Linked DNA regions of Danio rerio. The protein of the gene in region 2 interacts with the protein of the main gene of each other region in a pairwise test. Links are inferred from orthologs where the notes say so. Each region holds a gene or a part of one and is shown on either strand. Other genes may lie near its edges.

The links.
Region 1: the proteins of tmem79b (region 2) and plp2b interact in binary tests that used the Homo sapiens proteins (3 or more experiments, as listed by UniProt). The two-hybrid records come from large-scale screens. The link is inferred for Danio rerio from reciprocal best matches to the Homo sapiens genes TMEM79 and PLP2.
Region 3: the proteins of tmem79b (region 2) and sec22a interact in binary tests that used the Homo sapiens proteins (3 or more experiments, as listed by UniProt). The two-hybrid records come from large-scale screens. The link is inferred for Danio rerio from reciprocal best matches to the Homo sapiens genes TMEM79 and SEC22A.
Region 4: the proteins of tmem79b (region 2) and tnmd interact in binary tests that used the Homo sapiens proteins (3 or more experiments, as listed by UniProt). The two-hybrid records come from large-scale screens. The link is inferred for Danio rerio from reciprocal best matches to the Homo sapiens genes TMEM79 and TNMD.
Region 5: the proteins of tmem79b (region 2) and sln interact in binary tests that used the Homo sapiens proteins (3 or more experiments, as listed by UniProt). The two-hybrid records come from large-scale screens. The link is inferred for Danio rerio from reciprocal best matches to the Homo sapiens genes TMEM79 and SLN.

Annotation. Positions count from the first base shown.
Region 1 is NC_133183.1:59,091,815-59,095,335, forward strand, and holds part of plp2b (proteolipid protein 2b), read right to left. Parts: intron 202-3,521; coding exon 46-201; intron 1-45. UniProt on the Homo sapiens protein: May play a role in cell differentiation in the intestinal epithelium.
Region 2 is NC_133191.1:33,472,939-33,476,459, reverse strand, and holds part of tmem79b (transmembrane protein 79), read right to left. Parts: coding exon 3,347-3,521; intron 991-3,346; coding exon 796-990; intron 665-795; coding exon 442-664; exon of another isoform or gene 1-441.
Region 3 is NC_133184.1:39,568,738-39,572,258, forward strand, and holds part of sec22a (vesicle-trafficking protein SEC22a), read left to right. Parts: coding exon 1-10; intron 11-177; coding exon 178-296; intron 297-674; coding exon 675-740; intron 741-3,150; coding exon 3,151-3,351; 3' UTR 3,352-3,521. UniProt on the Homo sapiens protein: May be involved in vesicle transport between the ER and the Golgi complex.
Region 4 is NC_133189.1:45,246,045-45,249,565, reverse strand, and holds part of tnmd (tenomodulin), read right to left. Parts: intron 1,284-3,521; coding exon 1,143-1,283; intron 1-1,142. UniProt on the Homo sapiens protein: May be an angiogenesis inhibitor.
Region 5 is NC_133190.1:51,382,748-51,386,563, reverse strand, and holds sln (sarcolipin), read right to left. Parts: upstream 2,412-3,816; 5' UTR 2,362-2,411; intron 858-2,361; 5' UTR 825-857; coding exon 723-824; 3' UTR 515-722; downstream 1-514. UniProt on the Homo sapiens protein: Reversibly inhibits the activity of ATP2A1/SERCA1 and ATP2A2/SERCA2 in sarcoplasmic reticulum by decreasing the apparent affinity of the ATPase for Ca(2+). Also inhibits the activity of ATP2A3/SERCA3.

The DNA.
Region 1 (3,521 bases), on a different chromosome or scaffold from region 2:
TGTAGGACTCACCACCATGATGCTAGTGTGTGTGCATTTACTTACGCTCCAGAGCCAGTTCACCACCAGGAACTGTTTGTCCAGCTCCAGCATATAGACAACGAAGAAGATGATGGCAAAGACCATCTCGCAGATGGCGACCGCTGTATACCCTCCGTACATCGATGCGGCATAACAGATCAGGATGATGAAACTGAGGAGCTACAGACAAACAGAAAACAAGCATTTACATCAGTATGGATGTGAACATTTTGATCAGCAAGTCAAAAATTTGATGGTTAGCATTAGCTGTTAGCCTCTGCTGCATTTACATCATTGTGCAGGCCTAAGGCTTGTTTCTTTATTGCAGTGTTGTCATTGAGACTGTAATGAAACAAACATTGGCATACAGATCAGTTTTTTTATGTATTGTGTATGCCACAATAATCAATATATCGACTTATCGTGCAATACTTGGAGATGATCTCAATCATTTTGTTGCCATTGCAATACAGTGCATCTGGAAAGTATTGATAGCGCTTCACTTTTTCCACATTTGTTTATGTTACAGCCTTATTCCAAAATAGATTAAGTTCATTTATTTCCTCAACATTCTACACACAATACCCCATAATGACAATGTGAAATAAAGAGTTTGTGAAATTGTTGCAAATTTATTAAAAATAAAAAACCTCAAAAATCACAACAAAAAAATTCTAAATACTCTGTTGATGCACCTTTGGCAGTAATTACAAACTCAAGTCTTGTTGAATATGATGCCACAAGCTTGGCACACCTGTCTTTGGGAATTTCTGCCCATTCCTCTCTGTAGTACCTCTCAAGCTCTATCAGGTTGGATGGGAAGTGACGGTGTACAGCCATTTTCAGATCTCTCCAGAGATGTTCAATAGGATTTAGGTCTGGGCTCTGGCTGGGCCACTCAAGGACATTCACTGAGTTGTTGTGAAGCCACTCCATTAATATTTTGGCGGTGTGCTTTGGGTCATTGTCCTGCTGGAAGATGAACCGTCGCCCCAGTCTGCGGTCAAGAGAACTCTGAAGCAGGTTTTCATTCAGGATGTCTCTGTACATTGCTGCATTCATCTTTCCCTCTATCCTGACTAGTCTTTCAGTTCCTGCTGCTGAAAAACATCTCGACAGTATGATGCTGCCACCACCATGCTTCACTGTAGGGATGGTATTAGCCTTTTTCATATTTAGTTTTGTAAGAAATTTAGTTTTTTATGGTCTGAGAGTCCTTCAGATGCCTTTTGGCAAATTCCTGGCGGGGAGTGGCTTCTGTCTGGCCACTCTACACTCTCAGAAAAAAAGGTACACGGTGGTACAAATAACGTTCCTTGAGGGCCAGTTTTGTACCCGTGTAAAAGTTGTACCTTATATGGTACAGAAAAGGCCTCTTATGATACTGTTCTGTACCTTTTATGGTACAATTGAAATGAAGGTACATAATTGTTCTCATAAAAAGGTACACTCTCAGAAATAAAGGTACAGGAGCTGTCACTGGGGCAGTACCTTTTCAAACGGTACATATTTGTACCTGAAGGGTCCATAATGGTACTTCAGAGGTACTAATATGCACCTTTTAGGTACCACTGTAGACTCTTTGAGTACAAATATGTATCTTTTGAAAAGGTACTGCCCCAGTGACAGCTCCTGTACCTTTATTTCTGAGAATGTACATAAGTGTTGGACAACTCCTTCTTTGTTACAATATCTATGAAAATAAATATTACTGGAGAGGCAAAGTGATTTATGAATAATTTCCATATCAAAACAAGAATCATCATTTAAAAGCATATGTTTAAATAAACTCATAAACAATAATTATTAAGTTCTATAATGCAATAATACAAAACAACTGGTACACATCATGTTCTTAAAGGTACAAACTGCAATGGTACAAATTTGTTTCTTTGTCTTGAGGTACAATTCTGTCCCATAAAAAGGTACTGCCCCAGAGACAAGGGTTTGTACCTTCTTTGGTACAACATTGTACCACTTTTTCTGAGAGTGTACCATACAGGCCTGATTGGTGGATTGCTGCACAGATAGTTGTCCTTCTGTAAGGTTCAATTACCTGTAAAATAATGGTTTAGAATCTAGACTGCAGACAATTACCTGTAAAATTATGTTTATTTTTTTACAGTGTACTTTATATAGAGGGCAGAGTGTTGCTAAAGAACTACTGAGAGATTTCAGCTGCTGTCTGGGCTTTCACTGCCTTTCTGCACCTCCCTTCCTTCATGTGTTCAATACTTTTTCTCTGCGTCATTTCATTTATTACGAATTTTTAAACTAATTAGTTTTGTTTTCTTTACATAAATGGATTTCTTTGGCTAATATCAACATCTTATCTGAGCAAAATGGTGACGTGTTCAATACTTATTTTCCCTGCTGTATATAACAGAACTCATTTTGCTGGTCTTTTCTTAGCATCAGTGTGCTTCCCCCAATTCATTTGGCTTTTTAGTGTGGAAATTCTCCCTTGTAAGTACAGTACGTCATTCATGTTTGCTGCCAAATCACCAAAGCTTTTTACTACCGTTCACAATCCCTCAGAAGGACCCAGCTGCTCTAGGTGTCGGTTAACAGTGGAGCTCTGAATTTCACACATCCCCTAAAGTTTCTAAAGTTTTCAGAAGCTCTGATTGCTAAAACATGTGGCACGCACTACAGAGAGGAAAAAACAAGTGTAAACAGCACAATTCATTCAATAGAAAGTCCTTATATGGTTATAAATGAAGAATACATTTGGGAGTACAGGGATATTATGAAGTTAAAATCAACTCAGTCCTTGCTTAAACTCAAACAGTCGATACATGTATTTGCAGATCCTGTCAGGCAACACTAAACTCTAAATCAACACTGCCAGCAACGTCTACTAGGAGAAGTTTGTTTCTTGTTCGTCAGACTTCATGGATAATCTCTGGCTCATGGTTTGTTTTTAAGCTCCAAGGAAAGGAAAACAATGTGATATTTGAATTCTTTTTAACATGTTTACTAGGGCTGGGTGGTCAATACTGTGGAATAAATTGTTAACCGTAATAAATGTAATTTTTTTGTGTATGCCGCAAGATGTAAACAAGTAGGCGTTACTAATTAACATATAATGTGCGTGAGGGAATCGCTGACAGGAGCTTAACTTACATCAATTGGTACCGGACTGCACAACAAAATTATGAATTATTTCAGTTTTATTTATAATCAGAGTCTGAAAGATCATTATCATATAATGATATCATTATCATTATTTTGAAAAATGATAATTAAACATTCATTCATTTTCTTGTCGGCTTAGTTCCTTTATTAATCTGGGGTCGCCACAGCAGAATGAACCACCAACTTATCCAGCATATGTTTTACCCAGCCTATGCCCTTCCAGCTGCAACACATCACTGGGAAAATAACTAAACATATTAAGTTGAACTTACTTTTTAGTTTAAATTAAGTTGCAAAATTGTATTACTATTATTCAAATAAGTTAAAGTAACATTAAACATTAGTTGTAGTGACCTTTTGTC
Region 2 (3,521 bases):
TTTTGCAAAAATAGATGACAAATTTTTGGAAGTTTTCAGAAATGATTGAGAGTATTGAGGAGTCAGTTTAATAGTAAAGAGACTGATGTCATGCTCCTTTTTTAAAGGTATTTTGTAGTATTTTTATAATAGACAAATACTGTATTTTCTTTTGATACATTTTGTGACTGCTGTATTCTGTAGTTTATTTCAATTCACTTAAACTTAAGGTATTAGGTATTTTATTTTAAAATACATTTAAATGTATTTATGCCTAACCCTGGTTTAGATAAACTACTCTAAAACGCAGAACATTCTATTAATGTATTTTAAAGAATGTTTGCTTTGAGAGAAACTTTCCAGAATATTTGCTGAAGTTCTGAGAACGTTTATGGAGTGTTAACGACAGTTCCTAAATCAGACATTCCATTCTATAATTCTCATGTGGATTCAGTACAGTACCTGCCAAAGGCAAAAACAATGGTGAGGAGGGGAATAAGTTTAAGCAGATCCTGATTCAGGTAGGCAGCCATGACAGTCAGTTGGAGAAAGTAAAGCAGGAAAAGCGAGATGGAGTCCTCCACATAACGCTGATGAACAGCAACCTGCTTAACTTCCTTCTCCCCTTCAAACCGCGGTTTCAAGGAGCGATACCACAGACGGGACACGCCAAGAACCAACATACCTAAGATTTAAAAAGAAAAAAAAGAGAACAATGGTTACCTGTGATTTAATGATTCAGCTCTGTTTGCACACTAAAAGACACGCTGTATTTTTCAATGTAAGAACTCAAGCCTCATTTCCCTTCTTACTCACCAAGAACAATTGGTATGACTGCAAAAACTGAGCAGCGCAGGGTGTAGACCAGCCTTAGGGGGGCACTGTCCAGTAGAGGAGCATCAAAGGGCAGGAAAACATAGCCACCCCACACCAACAAGGGGAAGATCAAAGCTGAAGTGAACATGGAAGCTCCCAGTTTAAGAGCATCACGGTTACAGCAACCACAGTTACCTGAAAGAAAAAAAAAGATTTCATAAATTCATCATGGCGGTGAGTTCACAGTGTTGGTCCTTTTTCATTTTGTATAAAGAGGTGGTCACATTAACAAGATTTTCAGATTGCCTAGTATTGTATTTGTATATCATAGAATTCACTTGCAGCTAGTCTAGACACTGAATTTGCGTTCCTAAATTCAATCGATTAAAATATTTGCATAGGAAAATCTTTTAAGCATCAAGTCAAAATCTCAGTTATGCAGCTCCAAATTGAAATGCCCTAATTAGGACTAATAAGAATGAAAAAGTTGAATTATGTTTGTCATACAATCTTTTACATTGCATTTGAACCCTTTATAATGTTCTCAATGAAATACCCATTGGAAAAACCCTGGAGTGTTACTGAAAAAATTATATTTAAAAAATGCCAATAAAGTAACTATGTGTTCTATGCCCGTAAATAAGTTAAGGATTATAAAAATTGGGTGGCACGGTGGCTCACAGCAAGAAGGTCACTGGTTTGAGTCTCAGCTGTGCCAGTTGGCATTTCTGTGTTTGCACGGGATTCCTCCTGGTGCTCCGGTTTCCCCCACAGTCCAAATACATGCAGTAAAGGTGGATTTAATAAACTTAATTAGCAATAGTGTATGAGTGTATATGAGTGTGTGTGTGTGTGTGTGTGTGTGTGTGTATGGGTGTTTCCCAATACTGGGTTGTGGCTGAAAGGGCATCCGCTGTGTAAAACATATGCTGAAATAGTAGGCAGTTCATTTCGCTGTCGCAACCTCTGAAATAGAGACTAAGTCAACGCAAAATGCACATTAAAGTGAATTTTATATACATTTTTACATAAACTACATGAATAAATGTACATGAATAAATGAATGAATGAATATTAAAATTCTACATTATTATCTACAACATTAACACAAAAATAAAGCTAAAATGGAAACCCAAGCCAGATATTTTCAATATGATTTTAGGAAAGTGATTTTAAGCAACATATTATTATAAATGTACAGTTTAAATTAATATCATTTTAAATTATTATTAATTACTTTTTTAGTTTTAAATGACTGCTAGATGATGGCAAATGTAATTTATATTGTCAATTTATATTGTAATGTATATTGCAGGGCTAGAAATATCTTTGCATCTCTAAAAACATTTATAATCAGTTAATAAATATGGTACTGCTTAGGGCTGCACAATATATTGTTTCAGCATCGATATCGCAATGTGATCATTCACAATAGTCACGAGTATACGAAATACTAAGTCTGGATTATAATTATATTATATAATAAAATAAATAATATAATAATAAAAGTGCTTTTTGAGGCCTGTGACTGTGTGAGGGATTTAAAAGCATTCAGGCCTAAAAAATTGTACCGATTTAATTGTTTATAAACAAAGACTATGGAGTATTATTTTACATTTGATTATCCAACTACTGTATACCTGAATACAGTTAGACTCCTCAGGAAAACAATCAAAAGGCTGTTTATTTACTTTGTATCTTTTTCTGCTACTTAGGTCATGATGTCATATCGGTGACCTATGTAATACCGTTTCTGGGCCCAAGCTGCTACTTATTTGAGAAAAAGCAGTTTTTAATATTATAAAAAACATTTTAAGGTCAAAATTCTTAGCTCCTTTTAAGCTATATTTATTTTCGATAGTCTACAGAACAAACCATTGTTATACAATAACCTGCCGAATTACCTTAACCTGCCTAGTTAACCTAATTAACCTAGTTAAGCCTTTAAATGTCACTTTAAGCTGTATAGAAGTGTCTTGAAAAATATCTAATAACATATTATTTACTGTCATCATGGAAAAGATAAAATAAATCAGTTATTACAAATGAGTTATTAAAACTATTATGTTTAGAAATGTGTGTAGAAATTAGGGAAAAAAAAAACAGGGCTAATTATTCTGACTTCAACTGTATATATATATATATATATATATATATATATATATATATATATATATATATATATATATATATATATATATATATATATATATATTGCAATTGTGATTTTTGAAATACGGTGCTTGGTAAAAGTTTATTATTACAGTTTATGAGTCTCCCTATACAGCTTGATATAGCTACTCGGAAGCCGCTTCATGTGACGTCGCACTTAACAAGCAGATTGAATTTGTCTATGCCTGTAGGTTGTTTCTTTTATTTTATGCATATGCACTCACCCACATAATCATCCCAACCAATATAAAATGATAAATTCTTTCCAAATAGTTATTCAACACTTCTACTTAAAATGTATTCATAACGCAATGTATATCGCAGAAAAAAATAAAAATAATTAATTTTGTGCAGCCCTATAAAACATTAATGAGCTTACAGCAGTGTGATCTGTGTGTATCCGGCCAGTCCTGGTAATACTCTTCTAGCGGTGTGCCATGTGTCCCATGTGACCCAAGGAAGGGGCTTCTCGCTTCCTCTTCTTGATCTCTCCAGTGTTCTGCAGCCTCCTGCTGACTGGTGGAGCGCAGGATGGTGATGCTGGGGCTGAAGAC
Region 3 (3,521 bases), on a different chromosome or scaffold from region 2:
AAAGGCATAGGTAGGGAACACGATGCACATACTTCTTTTTGTTCTCAAGAAGGAAGTACAGAGCAGCCCTAGCATCATGCCATAAAGTTTTGATCAGCAGGTTTCCTTCAGCAGGCTTTTAAAATCTAGTTATTTTGCTAGTGCTTGACAGATTCTGTGCTTGATTTATTCCTGCAGCTCCTAATCAAATGTTGGAGGCTGTCACCCTGTCGGGTATTGTCGCCTGTGTCCTAAGCATCCTGTGTGGCGCTCTAAATTTACTGCGGGGAGTCCATGCGATTGAAAGCGTATTGCAGGTAAGTTACAGTAAATCATGCATTAATAGAAATGCTGCTGCTTCGTTTTTAAGCTTTGTGTCTTTTATTGATGAACGCATTGGACTCGACATTACTCTTAAATGCATAAGTGCCGTCGTAATAAAATAAATCTCAACTAATGGATGGTAACAGTACACTTGAATAATTTGTCCGAGTTTGCATTTAGATGTAATGTGATTTTTCCCTCTTCCATAAACAGAACAGTTTTTGCTTGGCTTTGAATATTGTGCTGATAAGTGAGCCCTCGAGTCCTGACACTTAATTCATCCTCCGTATTAGCACATGGCTTCCTGGTGTAATTTGTTCACTATTTAACGCAGCAACCCTGTCTTTCCTCTTTTTCTGCTTCATCTGCAGAACGACGATGAAGACTTTAATTACGTAATTGCTTTTTTCCTTGGAACCGCAGCGTGTTTGTATCAGGTAAGTGACGGCGGTCGGAGCGTGAGTTACTATCGGCCTGCCAGGCTTTATTTTCTATGTACGCCATTTCGGCCTGACCAACCAATGCTTATATATCACACTTTTTCCTCACTGTCATGTAAAAGAGTAGCTTCTGGAAATTAGGAAAATGTTTCCTTTTAACTTGCATCGAATCTGCTGGTATTGTGGATGCTTCTTTAGAATAAGAATCATTCAGTGACATATTAAAAGACTTTATTTAAGTAGATAGTTGATTTAAAAATGACCTTTTACCTCAACATTTACTCGTCCTCATGTGGTTTGAAAATTTAACGAGTTTTTTTGTTCTTTTCAACACATTCATTTTCCTTTAGTTTTGTCCCTTTATTCATCAGGGGTTACCACAGCGAAATTAACTGCCAACTTATCCAGCATATGTTTTACACAGTGGATGTTTTACACAGTCCGGCTGCAACCCAGTACTGGGAAACACCCATACACACTCATCCACACACATCCACTATGAACAATTTAGTTTATTAAATTCACCTGTACCGCATGTCGTTAGACTGTGAAGAAATCCAATGCACCTGAAAAAAACCTACACGCACACGGGTGCCCAGTCTCGAAAATAGAGTTAAACCCAGCCCAGACTCGAATCAGCAACCTTCTAGCTGTAAGGCGACATTACTAACCACTGTCGCCCCTTTTTATAACACAAATTAAGATATGTTGAATAATGCTGGGAACCATTCACTTTTCCTACTATGAAGTTAATGGGTCCCAGCAACCAGCATTATTCAAAATCACTTATTTTGTGTTCAACTGTAGTAAGAAACCTAAACAGGTTTTGAGCAAATGAAGGATGAGTAAATGATCACAAATGATGTCTTCAGAAAACAGAATCACACTAGTACTTCATTTGGTCAAAAGTGACTAAAGACCACACATGTAACTTTTACACCATTAAAAACAATAGGATATTTACAATAATTATTATTTAAAAGGTTTTGAATCAGTGCAGTATTTTGTAATTAGAAAAAGAAAAACCCGTTCACTGCTGTATATTTTTTCAGCCTTGTGGCTGATTTGTAGATTGTACACACACAAATTCTCACAAGTGTAGTTTTTTTTCTAAATTATCAATTCATTTCTTATGGGGAGTCCTCTTTGACCAAAAGAATACAAGTTTGACTTTTTATGCCACTTCGCCAGCTTGAATCTTGCCCCAATTTTTTATATACATTGCAAAAACTTAGTTTTGCATAATTGTGATGAAGCTGTAATAAAAAAAAAATTCAACATTTTCCTACGGGACCAACAGGTTTAAGTATCACAGCACAGCCCCAAAATAATAATTTCTTCTTTAAGAAAAAGTCAGAATAAGCCAATTAATAAATTTTTACATTTAATATGTTCATTAAACTGATGACAGTGGAACTTTGTCACCTGTATTTTGTCTTTTTTTCACAAAAATGAATTTAAAACATTAATACAGATAACATACTTGCATTAAATACTTTTCATTCATTCACTTTCCTTCAGCTTAGTCCCTTTATTTATCAGGGGTCACCACTGTGGAATGAACCGCCAACTTATCCAACATATGTTTTACACAGAGGATGCCCTTCCAGCTGCAACCCAGTACTGGGAAACATCCATACACACTCATTTACACACACTTATACACTACGGCCAATTTTATTTACCCAATTCACCTATATTCTGTCTTTGAACTGAGGGAAACTGAAGCACCCAGAGAAAACCCACACAAACACGGGGAGAACATGCAAACACAGAAACACCAACTGACTTTGAAATGCCAAATGTGACTTTCACCATTAAAAACAATGGGATTTTTACAAATTATTATTATTGAAAATATTTTTTTTTAATTAGTGCCGTGTTTGTAATTAGAATAGAGAGGCAGATTAGCACAATCTGGTTTAAAAAAAAAAAGAAGAAAACCCCTTCACTGCTGTATATGCTCAGAAATATAGTTTTAATTTTTGTAAATTCCATATTTATTTCCTATGGTCAATCATCTTTGACCAAAATAATACATGTGTGACTTTATTTATGCCCACTTTGCCCGCTTGAATCTTGCCCCCAGTTTTTGTATGTATATATTGCAATAGCTTACAAAGTTTCTTACAATTCCGATGAAGCTGTTACTTAAAAAAATTCAAGGAGACCCCGGGGGGTTAAGGATCACAGCACAGCCCCAAAATAATAATAGTTAACTGTTAGCAATTCTTGTATTAAAACAGATAATATACTTGCATTTAATACTTTTGCTTATATAAAGTGCTTTTATAAAGAAAGTGATGTGACAAAAAACAAGACGACTTGACTTTGACTATCAAAAATTGTAATATTGTTCAAATCTTATTCAAATGTTTTCCTCGTGTCTCTCTGTCTCTATACGCAGTGTTACTTATTCGCCTACTTCTCATTCTGGAGAAACATCAAGTCATTCCTGGCCTTCGCTCTGATCTGCCTGTGTAATATGTATCTGTATGAACTCCGGAACCTGTGGCAGATCCTCTTTCACGTGACAGTGGGAGCGTTCATCACTCTGCAGATCCACCTGAGACGACCGCAGGGCAAAGCACCTGACTATAATGTTTGACCCCCTTGAACTCTTCAAGACTGTGTAATATAGCCCAACATGGCAACTATGAATCTCTTCCCGGCCCGTTTGAGGACTTACAGTATGGATTTTGAAAAAGGTTTACAAACGGTTTTGAAAAATGTCCTGCTGTTCCACATTTAGCTACTGTTCTGGTTAAAGCAGAAGGT
Region 4 (3,521 bases), on a different chromosome or scaffold from region 2:
ACCTTTCCACAGCAGTTTATGCAAAGCTAGACACAGGAGACCGCTTTGCTTCTCCCTGCTGCCACATGGAGGGATTGGCAAAGACAATCTCCTGCTCTATTGATGTATTGACTTCTAATTAGTTTGTCAGGCGCTGTACCTTTTAAGATCACAGGAATAATTGATGATGTCTTACCTAGCCAAACAAGGAAAGCCAGAAACATTTAATATTTGGTCAAGTCTAAATAACAGTAGGCGGGGCTTATGAAATATGCAGTGTTGGTTTGAAATATTCATATATACGCTGCAAATTTGTGATGCCCGGAGCTGCAATAGTTGCACATTCAGGTTTCATTGTTGATGTCAGCACTTGAGACACACTGAGTGTGTGTGTGTGTATGTCTTTTGCTTGGCTAATATTTCCCCCTGACTGCTGTTGAGAAGAGACCCCCTAACAGTCAGGACCATCATTGTGTTTTAAAGCACCATTATCCTGCTCGTTGCTGGATATCAGCGGCTGCTCGGGCCTTAAGTAAGCCGAGCGCAGCAGTTCGAGAGTGTGAGCACTCGCTCTCCATCTCCACAGCCCAAACTTCCAGTGTCATTAAGCCCATTACATGCCCTGTGAGAATCTGCAGCTCAAACTGATGAGTCCTCAAGCAGGAGCGTGAAATATCTGATGCAGAAATTAGACTGGAGCTTCAGCAAATGCGTTCAAAGAATTGGCTGTTAAATGAGTTGCATCCTCTGGGAGATTGTATGCATAGCGTCGTACACCCAAGCATAAGGTTTGCCTGTCTGTTGACACTCGCCTATTGGCAATTACTTACACGCTGTCCATTTCTGGGTATCAACAAGAATTGAGGAGCTATAATGAATAATATCTGTGTTTTGCAGTTCCGATTATTGTAGCAATCTTATTATGAAATGCACACTATGTATTTATCTGTTCATTCTGGCGTTTTCTCAGCTCTGTGATGTTATTGTTTATGCCAAGGAAATCAAGATTGGATTCAGTCAGTTCCAAGAATACTAAACAGCTTGTGCAGATGTTTCTGTGTCTTTCATTTCCATCCCACGATTGTTATTCTAATCATTTGCTAATTAATCCACAGCCATGCACTGTTCTCTTGGTCCCCAAAATGGATTTGGATTTCTCTTACCTTCCCGAGGTTTGGGCTCCATATATATCTGAGACTGAAGATGCAGAGGGCCAGAATCAGGAACACCACACTCAGAATGATGGCGGCACACTGGTAAGTGCGATACCTGGCCTTTCTGTCCTTCTCCTTCCCCAGCTCAACCTACAGAAACATTAACATTATTGTACATATTTATATATATATATATATATATATATATATATATATATATATATATATATATATATATATATGGTGTGATTTCCGACGTTGAACGTATTGCAGCACAATGCTCAACTGACGAAGAAATAATCACACGGGCAATTTGAATTCTTCTGAGATCAGAACAAAAGGTCACATTTATTAAAATTGTCCCAAATTAAAAGTTCGTCTGTTCGATTAAATTCCCGGAGCTTACGGCCGCAAATTAATAAAGGGAGGCTTTTGTTCCACCCGAGTTCCAGCAGGGAGAGTCTAAAAGCTTACTATTCACAGTGGTGTGCTCTGCTATCTCTCAGGACTTGGCCAATCACAAACGTGAAATATGGAGGAACAAGCTTCAATTAGCAAATGTCTCTAGCCGAAACAGAAGCTTAAAGAACAGAAATAGCAGTGGTGACCAGGGATGATTCTGAGTTCAGTGGGTAATCAGAACCTTTAGTCCAGACCTCTGTCAATGCTTTGATGAAATATTGACTTATGTGCTTCATAACTGGGGTGCATCATTCTGATTTTAATAAACAGTACTATAGGTGATTCTGATACACATATCAATATTTACTTATTTGCATTTACCTACTGTTTTGATGTTTAATTCATTTATTTTCTTTCGGCTTAGTCTCTTTATTAATCCGGGGTCGCCACAGCGGAATGAACCGCCAACTTATCCAGCATGTGTTTTACGCAGCGGATGCCCTTCCAGCCGCAACCCATCTCTGGAAAACACTTTTGATGTTATAAATTGGCTAAATTCTAAATAATTTAAAGCATGATGGCTAGTTTCTTTCTGTATCCTGATACAGTTTTATTTGGCAAGTATTACATGTTATTATTATGATGTTAGATTTATAAGTCAGGGCCATGCAGCTAATCTGTTTATTTGAAGAGTCTGGAAGCAAACATGCAAGTGCCTTCTGAAATATTCTTCTAAAATGTGACTTTTTTAAGGCTCATGTATGTATGTTCAGTAATTTCACCATTCATTCATTTTCTTTTCGCATTAGTCCTTTTATTTATCAGGGGTCGCCACAGCGGAATGAACCGACAAATTATCCAGCATATGTTTTTACGCAGCGGATGTCCTTCTAGCCGCAACCCAACACCGGGAAACACCCATACACTCCTGCATTTACACACATACACTACAGCCAATTAAATTTATTCAATTCACCTATAGTACATGTCTTTGGACTGTGGGGGAAACCGGAGCACCCGGAGGAAACCCACACAAACAGCCGAGGCTTGAGCCAGAAACCTTCTTGCTTTGAGGTGATCCCACTTTGCCACTGTGATGCCCCTAATTTCAGTATTATGGAATAGAATAGGTTATTTTTGATTGCCTTTAAAGTCAAAGTAAATGGGTAAAGTAAAGGGTGTGTACATGAGACAGAATTGTCATTTTTGGGTGAACTATTGCTTTAATAAGATAATCAGTTTGAATGTTAGCTCATGGTAGTTATTGACACTTTGTTCAGAAAGCATGCATTTGCATATTTGTGTTACTTCAGCAACTTTACAAGCTAGCAGGCTATTAGTATTAACATTTCTGATATATGCAAAAATAGTTTTTGTATCATTAGCCTACAGTAAGTTTGGGAGGTTTGTTGCATTATTCTTTAATAAAATAGTTTGTCGCTGCAAATGCCCAGGCAATTTCCCCCAAAATCCCTTAAGCACTGCAATACTCTTCTTTGTTTTCAGAGTTATGTCTCTGAAATATTCTCTTTTTTTGCCAAGATATCTGCATAGACCAAAGTCAACGCAGTTTCCTCTGATTACTTTGGTGTTTTCTGTAGAGCGGAAAGCAGCGTCATCATTTCTTTTGCTTTGTGACAGAATAAATAACAAAATGCGGCAGACTTTATGCAAAATAGTCAAAATGTGGCTTGTGAGACAACGTCTGATTTATAGTGCAGCCTGCAGCTCTGAATAATTTTATTTATGACAAAAAAGTGACAAGGTGATAAAAAACATACAGGGCTTAAGTCCCAAAAGCCCACCCTAATGCCGCCATTGGTGGCGATTCCTGCAATCATACTTTATCTCACAGTGTGAGACACGAATCAGACAATGTCATTGGGGATATTTGGAAACCATTTCAAAAACTATAATAAATGCAAGCAGCATGTCTACTTTAATCTTTCATATAACTTTAGTGACAATGACATGTCAAAATATGGC
Region 5 (3,816 bases), on a different chromosome or scaffold from region 2:
ATCATAGTCAGTGCAGTGGAATAAAAACAAAAAGGATCCTCTGTATCTTTATCGTTGTAGTTGCGGTGTGAACCATAATATTCTTTAACACTGTGGACAATCTTTAGAACCATATATTCATCGATATCTTCATGCTTGGTATGAACGCGGCAAGGCAAGTTTATTTCATACAGAGTGGCGATTCAAAGTGCTTTACATAAACAAGATTAAAAGAGACAGGGATAAGATGTTTCAGTGAAACGTTAAAAGAAAAACAATCAATAGTTATTCACTAACGCTCTGTCCGATTTGACCAGTGAGGAACAGTGACTGAGAAGGTTCTGGAAAGTGACTTATAGCCTCTCTGCGATGGAACCGCAAGGCAGCGCTCACTAAAGTAGACCTTCACTCTATAAATGTGTTGATGAGGTGATCAGTGAGTTCTGATCGGTATTAGTCATTTCCGATTGAAATTCGGCATTGTTGGAATGTGTATTTGTGTAAGTGCATGCTGTAAAACACAACCACATGCCGGTGCATTGCCAAAGAGTTTATTGATGCAAATAAATCTGTCCTAAATCAGGACATCTGGACTCTTTTGTCTGGCAGGATGAGTGTTTGACCTTCAGATCATTATGACCACAATCCATGAACACAAACTGTTGGATCATCTGGACTGTGAGCTCCTGCAAGACCGTCCTCACAGATGAAGATGATGATGAAGATGCAGGCTCTTCTCTCCCTCATGAGTCCTGATACTGCTTGACCAGTAACCACATCAGCAGAACGGTGATCAGAACAATCATGAAGTTCAGGAAGAGCTCCTGTGTGGATCGCTCCATCATGCAGACACACAGCAGCTGGAGCACGAGATCAACCTTCAGGGACACAGACACACACACACACACACATACACACACGCAGAGAGAGAGGGATAGAGATGGAAAAATAGAGCAGTATGTCGGCCACTAGGAAATTAAGCCGATCATCTGTCTGTTCTAGGCTTGAGTTTCAAACACAATTCCATCATCAGGTTAGCTATTGTCACACACACACACACACACACATACAGAACTCACACATTCACACACACACACACACACGAAAAAAACAATAGTAATTTATTGTAAATACTGTTGTGCTTTTAGAATATATTATAGTCAAGTCTATTAGACTGTTTATATTATAGTACTGTATCGACAATGCTTTAACTCATTCACCAGCATACTGTAGTATTAACTATAATGAAACTGTAATAAGTACTGTAGTTTACCTTAGTTTTTACTACAGTAAACTGGTATGTTGTAGTATAGTGTACTCTATAGTTGTAGAAATCTACTTGTACACAAAAGGTAATCATTTGTTTACATTGCTATAGTTGTTGTGTTACCATAGCAACTGTAAAAATCCCCACAACAGATTTGCTACTATAGCTGTTGTGTTACCATAGCAACTATAGAATCACCTCAACAGATTTGTTACTATAGCTGTTGTGTTACCATAGCAACTATAGAATCACCACAACAGATTCGTTACTATAGTTGTTTTGTTACCATAGCAACTATAGAATCACCACAACAGATTCATTACTGTAGTTGTTGTGTTACCATAGAAACTATAGAATCACCTCAAAAGATTTGTTACTATAGGTGTAGTGTTACCATAGCAACTATAGAATCATCACAACAGATTTGTTACTATAGTTGCTGTTACCATAGCAACTGTAGAATCATCACGACAGATTTGTTACTAGTCTTGTTGTTACCATAGCAACTATAGAGTCACCACAATAGATTTGTTATTATTGTTGTTGTGTTACCATAGCAACTGTAGAATCACAACAACAGATTTGTTACTATAGTTGATGTGCTACCATATCAACTGTAGCATCACCACAACAGATTTGTAACTATAGTTGTATTACCATAGCAACTGTAGAATCATCATGACAGATTTGTTACTATAGCTGTTGTGTTACCATAGCAACTGTAGAATCACCATAACAGATTTGTTACTATAGTTGTGTTATCAAAGCAACTGTACAATCACCACAAGTATTATACTTTACTGTTTACAATAGCACAGTTCAAAAACTATAGTAATTACTATGGTATTCATTAATTTGGTAGTTTTTTCCTATTTAAACTCATCTCCAAATGATTTAAAAACTTCAACACTAAATCAAACTAAGCACACTTGTTCATAAAGAGCATTCTAAACATGTTTGATCAAAGAAAGAGTGTTTTGTGTGATGTGATGTATTGATTCGTTCAGGTGAGTCGTCTGGAATTCCAAGATGCATTTAAACACTCAAAGCACTGAATGAATCTCTCTGCAGGTGATTCAGTGAGTCGCTGTGGTGAATGGTGTGGATCTTCTTACCTGCTCTGCGTCGTCTCTGTGTGTTTCAGATGATTTTAAAGTCTCTGTGTGCTTTTTCTACATCTCTGGGCTCTTAAAGCAGTGGTGCTGGACAGAAACGAGTGGATTGGACCAGAGGATGGTGATGTCACAGGTATTTAACATCAGCTGCTGGGTTTATTGAGGGATTGACTGAGATATGAGAGTCTCTGTGGATCAGGGTTATTCTGCGGCTCTATTGTCTTCTGGTGGAAGTAACAGGAGAGTAGTGGGTTATATGTAATCTGGATTACAAAATCAAGTATTTGTAATCACTCTAAATTACATGCTAAAAATGTTGGGTTACACACAATTTGTGTTGGGACAACATGAAGGAATTAAGTTAACTTATTAGCTAATACAAATTTGAGTGGATTAAACAAGTTGTCCCCAAAATTAATCAGGGATCATCACGTTGGAATGAACCACCTACTATTCCAGCATATGTTTTACACAGCGGATGCCCATCACTGGGAAATGGCAATATATTGTTGACAATTTTGCATATATTGTCATTTGCACTTATTGTTTAGATGAAATATTTGATGTCATGATGAAATTACTCTCAACTTTTCAATACTGTAATCAGGACTAGGCTTTAATGAAATACATGTAACAATGTCATATTTAAAAATTTAATTATAAGTAACTAATTCATAATAATATAACACCTCTGGGATCAGTTAAACTTATTAAAGAACATTTAAAGACAAATATTTTTGGCCAAGCTTTTAATTAACAATATGGAGAGCTGGTTTTACATTGGTGCCTCAGTACTTGGATTTTTAACCTGTTTTTATTGTATACAGCATAAATGTGATAAAAGTAATCTAAATGTAATCCAAAAGGAGTAAGATTACATTAGCATAAATTTAATCCAAAAGTAGTAAGATCAGATTAAAATAAATGAGTAATAAAAATAATGTTAAAACAATCCAAATGTAGTCAGATTACATTAGCATACATGTAATAAAAGTAATCTAAATGTAATCCAAAAGTAATAGATTATATTACCATAATATTGTAATAAAAATAATCTAAATGTAACCCATAAGTAGTGAGAATACATTACCATGAATGTGTAAACAAGTAATCCGAAAGTAGTGAGATTACATTACCATAAATGTATAACGAACATAATCTAAATGTAATCCAAAAGTAGTGAGAGTATATTAACATAAATGTGTAATAAATGTACTCCAAATGTAGTCAGATTACATTATCATAATAGTGTAATAAAAGTAATCTAAAAGTAATCCATAAGTAGTGAGATTACATTACCATAATTGTGTAATCAAAGTAATCTAAATGTCACACAAAAGCAGTTAGATTACGTTAGCATAAATGTAATCCAAAAGTAGTCCGATTACATTACCATAAGTGTTCAGTCTAACAGATTACATTACCGACTACAAACTTTGCTACGTAATTTGTAAA